Saccharomyces cerevisiae S288C: one gene and its partner. The protein of the gene in region 1 interacts with the protein of each later gene in a pairwise test. Each region holds a gene or a part of one and is shown in the gene's direction. Other genes may lie near its edges.

Region 1 (3,366 bases):
TTTTAAATCACTACTGACAACCTTATCAAAATGAATACCTCTTGAACGCAAGTAATGCCCCAATTTAGTGGCTTGTTCTTCTCCCGTAGGATTGATCGAGGTATCTTTGTGACCTTGCAAAATTTTTTTTACATTGTGTTCTGTTTGTCCATGCCTAATAATGAATAATCTGATGATGTTGTTATCGTCATTATCGCAATAATATGGTACTTCCTTAGTCATTCTTGGGTATAAATATATTTTTGGGTGCTTGTATAGCTTCGAGCTTCGTTGCCGCTTTGATCTTACAGTATGAGACTAATTCGAACCAGAATGAATAAAGCAATACTTTATGTTCTACAATTCAAAAAAGAATTAAGTAATATTGTGACGACCTGATTTTCCCATTGTATTAATATCGCTGGAAAAAAAATTACTGAAAAAAGAGGAAATCCCGCTAGAGGAAAAAAAGAAAAGGTTATATGATCGACCTGAAGAAATCTGCAGTACAAGATAACGCCTTCGAGTAAACATCACTGAGAAGAAAGGCATATTCAGCAGACATAATGCAGAATGAACCAATGTTTCAGGTCCAGGTGGACGAATCTGAAGACAGTGAATGGAACGATATTTTAAGAGCGAAGGGTGTAATACCAGAACGTGCACCTTCGCCCACTGCAAAGTTAGAAGAAGCATTAGAAGAAGCAATTGCCAAGCAGCATGAAAATAGACTAGAAGATAAAGACTTGTCGGATTTGGAAGAACTAGAAGACGATGAAGATGAAGATTTCTTGGAAGCTTACAAGATCAAAAGATTAAATGAAATCCGCAAATTACAGGAACGTTCCAAATTTGGAGAAGTTTTCCACATTAACAAACCTGAATACAACAAAGAGGTTACTTTGGCCAGTCAGGGAAAGAAATATGAAGGTGCACAAACCAATGACAATGGTGAAGAGGATGACGGTGGTGTCTACGTATTCGTTCATCTCTCGCTTCAAAGTAAACTACAAAGCAGAATTCTGTCTCATCTTTTCCAATCTGCTGCATGCAAATTCAGAGAAATAAAATTTGTAGAAATACCTGCCAATAGAGCAATTGAAAACTATCCCGAATCCAATTGCCCGACATTAATTGTATATTACCGGGGTGAGGTAATCAAAAACATGATAACGCTACTAGAACTGGGTGGTAATAATTCCAAGATGGAAGACTTTGAAGATTTTATGGTAAAAGTTGGCGCTGTTGCAGAAGGAGACAACAGACTGATAATGAACCGAGACGATGAAGAATCCAGGGAAGAGAGAAAATTGCATTACGGTGAAAAAAAATCGATCAGGTCAGGTATTAGAGGAAAATTTAATGTCGGCATAGGTGGAAATGATGATGGCAACATTAATGATGATGATGATGGATTTTTTGACTAAATAGTGCGAATATTCCTTATTTACAGGCTAAGTGGTGTCACTATCCCCATTATTTAATATATACAGATATAAAGAACAGCAAACTTTGTCATGTACTTCTCTGAATGTTTACGCGAGGATTACGGTATGTATGATTGAACATCGCTGCAGCATGGATTTTAGTAAGAGCCGTTGTCATGGCAACCAATTAAAGCTCTTTAATTACCGTCAAGCATACTTAGGATACAGATACAATAAAACCCCTTATTAAGTTCGAGCAGGCACATCTTGACAGAATAAACCTTTTAAATCGTCATATGGAGCATGGTCTGGTATCAAGTTTTACTACTTTTTCGCTTTGTTGTCAGAGGATAGAAATTTACTTTTTCTAGTTGTGCGTATAAAGAACACTATGGATGCAGTAATACAGAAAGTAATCTGTTCTACTTCGGTGCATTTTCAAACTGAATTCTACCACAAACCCCAGAATTATTATTATGAGTGAAAAGAAGAAAGTTCTAATGCTACATGGTTTTGTCCAATCCGATAAGATATTTTCTGCGAAGACTGGAGGATTACGAAAGAATTTGAAGAAGTTAGGTTACGATTTATACTATCCTTGCGCCCCACATTCAATTGATAAAAAAGCGTTATTCCAATCAGAGTCAGAAAAGGGTAGAGATGCTGCGAAGGAATTCAACACCTCAGCGACTAGTGATGAAGTATACGGGTGGTTCTTTAGAAATCCCGAATCTTTCAATTCCTTTCAAATAGATCAAAAGGTGTTTAACTATTTACGTAACTACGTGCTAGAAAATGGACCATTTGATGGTGTCATTGGATTCAGCCAAGGTGCAGGTCTTGGGGGCTACTTAGTCACTGACTTTAACAGAATATTAAATCTTACTGATGAACAACAGCCCGCTTTAAAATTTTTTATTTCATTTAGTGGATTCAAATTAGAAGATCAATCCTACCAGAAAGAATATCATAGGATTATCCAGGTGCCCTCTCTACATGTAAGGGGGGAGTTAGATGAAGTTGTAGCAGAATCTAGAATCATGGCATTGTACGAGTCATGGCCCGATAACAAAAGGACATTGTTGGTTCATCCTGGAGCCCATTTTGTCCCAAACTCGAAACCATTCGTATCCCAAGTTTGCAATTGGATCCAAGGAATTACTAGCAAAGAGGGTCAAGAGCATAATGCCCAACCTGAAGTAGATCGGAAACAATTTGACAAACCTCAATTGGAAGATGATTTGTTAGATATGATCGATTCCTTGGGTAAATTGTAATTCGATAATTGATATTTATATGAGCTACATACAATTTTTATAAAACTATTGAAAATATCGACGAGAAAAAGGAATAGTGTGACTTTTCTGCCGCCTTCTTTGACGTTTGATTTTCTATACCTGATTTATATCTGTTGCTAAAGAAAGAATTTTCGCGGCACACGAATGATATATATTTAACGTAAGGATTTCTTTTATCTGGCGGAAGTATCTCAATATATTAATATTAAACGCTGTTGAACACTATCCTAGGAACACTGACAGCTAGAAGTGATCATAAGACATTGCATATAAAATAACTATTAATTTTAATTAAAAGAATTTAATTAGAACAACAGGAAGGTGTTATAAGAAAGTGCGAATGAGTACAAATACGGAAATCATAAAAAATAGTGATTTGCAAAGTTTAATCAATGATAAGAGGAGGTTAATAAATGAAATAAAAGACTTTAATAAATCCATTAAACCCTTGGAGTTTGAATCGTATCAGGATTATTTCCTGATAAAAACGTTCAAAAAAGGAATATCTGCAAGTGGCCATGTGGATATTGACAGTTTAAGAAATAAAGAATATGGAATATACTACAAGAAAATCAAGAGGAACTCTACACAAGAAGTCGGCGAACCAATCCCTCGCAACACATCCTCCTCCTCCTCTTCTACTAGATCAAACTCATCAGCTG
Region 2 (4,188 bases), on another chromosome or scaffold:
ACCCAACCCCTTCAGGAAGAAAAGGGAGAGAGAAAAGCGAGACCAGATCTACAATTTGAAGTTAAAGCATCGTCACTTACAGCAAGAAACTATGAAAAGAGCCCAAGATTCTGACAAAAATTTAGCCATAAATCTAAGTTCTGAATATGGACGGTATGGCCAAGGGGTGGAAAGACAGCGTATTCTTAGAGATGCCCAGAAGTATCAGTTTGAAGCCGATGAAGAAGATAACCAAATGGAAATCGACTTGTACGGAAACCTAGAACAAATAAAAGCGGTGAGTGGTGACTTGAAAATTATGGCTCACGCTTTTGGCAGAGAGTTTGAAGCACAAAACACTAGAATGTTTGACATCGAGAACAATGTACAGCAGGCAGATAATGCTTTACAGGCCAAGCGATATAGATTGGAGAAAGTGATCGGGAAAAGATGGTGATCTGTTATACACACAAAATATCGTGTATAAATATATTGAATAAATAGTTTCTAAAAAGGCATACGCAGATATTCTTGCGAAAGAGAAAAAAAAAAGAGCGAGGGGGACATTAGTACTGAAGGTCTCAATTCTTCTTTGTATTTTCTTTCGGAGTTGTCAGACAAAGCTTTCTCTTTCCCATAAATAAAGTGCATTCAAACATCGGCAGGTTTGTTTTTCCCAGTTGTTACGTATTTGTTTCCCGTTCCATTCATGATCTTAAACTGGGTTAACTGAAAAATCAACATGATTTTGTGAAAAGTAAAAGAGGGTAAGAAAGATAGATACCGCTGTCGTGGGACTATATTTTTTACAGTACCAAGTCTACTTGCTTCTCATAAAGTTGATAAGTTATAATTCATATAATTTCATTTGTCAAAAAAGATTTTAGTTACAAAACGATATCAAAGTTCAATCTTGTTGGGAAAAAGGAAAACATTATGAAGGGTTTCCGGTAATCACTGCGTATGCCACACTATTCCTATAGAATTGTCTTGATTGGGTGCTTATGCTGCGGAAAAATTATATTCTGCGCTTGCCTTTTATATTAAGCGTCACAACGCCCTTACCAAGATCGAGCGGATTAAGACAAGAGTGTATCTCAAGCGTCCGTATATGTTTAAGTTGAAAAGGATATTTAGTAAGAATAATTCTACCCTACAAACGATATTAGTAAAAAAAAAAATCAATAATAGAGTTATTGTACAAACATGTTCTGAAAATTGGAAGCATCACATCGTATGCTACTAGAGAAAATTTTTACTATCCTTTTTTCCACAAGCCCAGCCCTAGCCCGATCATCCTATTAATTGTCAGACCACCGAATGCTATCCCGCCACGGTTGATATAACGAAACTCTTTACTGCTTTGGGTCAAATATGCCTCTTTTCCGCATTTTTTCGGAGTAGTTCATTGCCGCATACATACCGCAACTTGGACGAGGATGTCCTCCTTCTCTTACTTTTTTATTCGTTTCCAATTTGTTTCTCGTACCGTTCAAGTTTCAAGCCTACAAGAAATGTACACGACATGGATGCGTCAGCCTGATTCAGATATGACAAGATTGTTCCTGCGCATATGTGAATATGAGCGCACGCAATACATTGAGATCTTATTTGGGTTTGTAAGTGCAAACTTAATTTACTTTGCTTCCTGCCGGTTTTGATGTGCACCTGGGAACTTAAATAGCCGCCAAAAGAAAAGCAATCAGAGCGGCGCGGCGCAGACAAAACCCGAAGAGTTTCCTGGGAACGGTAGAGGCCTTGGTAGTACCTTACTAACGCCGGAGAGGATGATTGATACGCATTGAAATCGTACAGAAAACTTGGGGCAAAGCGCTCTTACCCCAATATTCTCACCCAAACAGTGGCAATAAATAAAGAAAAGGTCATCACTTTTTTTCGTACTCTTATCCGTTTTATTTTATTTTATTCTTTTTTTTTGAGTGGAGAATCATTAAGAATAAAGGGTACCTTTTGTAAGCACGATGAACGAAGTTACTTGTTCCATAACTGGTGACAACCCAATTCATAAGATCAACAATGGATTAGGCTTGAAATGGAATAATCTGGGTAAATTCTCTGATTTTCAGACTAACGATAGCGCCGCGCGAGATGCTAGAACAATAGATTACATCTTTACCAATTGTCAAACCGGCAGCAGTATTGGTAAGATAGATTTTCGGGCCGCACTACCGGCAGATAAATCTCAACATAGTGGTGTCAGCGAAAAAGAATTTTCAAGACTTGAGAACCAGTGGTCAAAGGAATTCTCTTGTTTCCCCAAGAATAAAAATGCTGATGTGACCAAGCCCAGTAGAAACAAACATGAGAAACGCTCCGCTAATTTGCACAATAGGTACTTTGCACAATATTATAGTACGGCATATCAGCAAAATCGTATATATCCTTGTCGAATATCTTACAATGAACACTCATCTGTTTCTAATGGCTGGGAATTTCAGTTCAAATCAATCGAAAATCAGTTACTAAATGAGCTAAAGATAGAAAACAATGTAGAAGAAAAAACTGTTGGTTATGAATATGTGGCAGAATACGAAGAAACAATTGATTTCATGCATATGCTGTCATCCGTACCACAAACATATCAATTCCTAAAATCAAACATCTACATAACGGAACGGGACCCATATAAAATAGGATGTGTACTAATGGACAACGGTTCCAATTTGAACGAAGTAGTAATGGCCTTTGAAGCAGCCATTTCACAAGATCCAAGCCATATAAATGCATGGTTGAAGTTAGGTATAGTTAATTTTGAAAATGAAAGCGAAAGCAATGGAGAGCTTGCTTTGCGAAATTGCTTAAATTTGGATCCAAATAATACAATTGCATTGGAAAACTTAGCAATTCACCATATAAATCAACAAAATGAATCAGAGTCATTGAAACTTTTTCACAAATGGATTCTTTCAAAATTTTCGAAGGTTTTCCAACCTTCTGCGGGGGAAAACAAAGATAGCATTAATAAAATTCCGAAAAAGGCCCATTTGGCGCATATTCTAGAATCCCTGTTGAATATGGGTATAGAAAAAAAAGATCAGTATGATATATATTCAGTATTATCAATCTTATATTATTCGGATCAGAAAATAAAGCAATCTCAGAAATGCTTAGAGTTTTTACTACTGGAAAAGCCCAATAATGGAACAATATGGAATAGATATGGTGCTATTTTGGCCAATACTAAGTCGTATCACTCTGCGATAAATGCGTACAATAAATGCAAACAACTAAGACCGAATTTTACAAGGGTTCGTTATAATTTAGCGATCGCCTACATGAATAAGGGTGACTATGTAAAAGCAAGCAAAATGCTAATCGAAGTTATACTGTTACGAAGTAAAGGATATGAACACAACAAAGCAAAAATGCAAAACAAATTTATGCAAAATTTAAAAAATGCTCTCATCGCTTCAAAAAATTTTGATTCACTTGATCTAATAAATGGTTCTCATAATACAGAATCGTTAATATCAACCTTAAAAGCTATTTATAACAAAATGGATTAGGTTTTAGTTAATTTTTTTGCTATATAGTGCATTCAAAATAAAAAAAATTAAAGCTGAAACAAACCAAATATGCTATTGGACGTTCGAAAAGCTAATTGCGTAAAGGAACACTAAACACAGCAAGCTTATGCTAGTTCTTCTCAAAAATATAAGTTCCTCTTGCAAGAATATGAAGGTAATTTCACTTTATCGCGCAAGTGCATATTTCTGAGTTTACTATGTGCTTCGTCTGAAACCTCTCATTATCTACTTAATATCGGCTATTCATCTCACGTATTCACGTAATATTTGATTTTTGTACTACTATTTCTCTCTGTCATACGTGCATGATACATTTCCTTGTTCAAATTAAAAGAGTCACCGTCAGCCTCTCAAAACAAAGAAAAAAGATACCCGGCTGAACATGAGTATCAATCATGAAATATATTATATACTTGTATTTGAGCATCGTTCAGTAGCAATCAAGCTCATCATCGTAGTGATTGTTCTCCTTCAGTTTTTTTTAGCACGAAGTCGGCAAATTGATAGGACATGGGCCCATACTAATAGAAAGGAACGGTTCAGAGAAATGACAGCTATCGGGAATACTGATGATGCACTTGATACTAGTACAGCCGCAAGTAAAGAAAATGGAAAAGGTAGACTCAGGGTTCAAAAAGCTTGTGAACTTTGCAAGAAGAGA

The links.
Region 2: the proteins of FSH3 (region 1) and PEX9 interact in a two-hybrid assay, tested with the Saccharomyces cerevisiae proteins (one study listed by BioGRID).

Annotation. Positions count from the first base shown.
Region 1 is NC_001147.6:844,309-847,674, reverse strand, and holds FSH3 (putative serine hydrolase), read left to right. Parts: upstream 1-1,882; coding exon 1,883-2,683; downstream 2,684-3,366. Other genes in the region: YOR283W (phosphoglycerate mutase), read right to left, coding at 1-222; PLP2 (Plp2p), read left to right, coding at 546-1,406; RFM1 (Rfm1p), read left to right, coding at 3,045-3,366. UniProt on the Saccharomyces cerevisiae protein: Serine hydrolase of unknown specificity.
Region 2 is NC_001145.3:308,247-312,434, forward strand, and holds PEX9 (Pex9p), read left to right. Parts: upstream 1-1,961; coding exon 1,962-3,506; downstream 3,507-4,188. Other genes in the region: SPO20 (Spo20p), read left to right, coding at 1-436; STB4 (Stb4p), read left to right, coding at 3,910-4,188.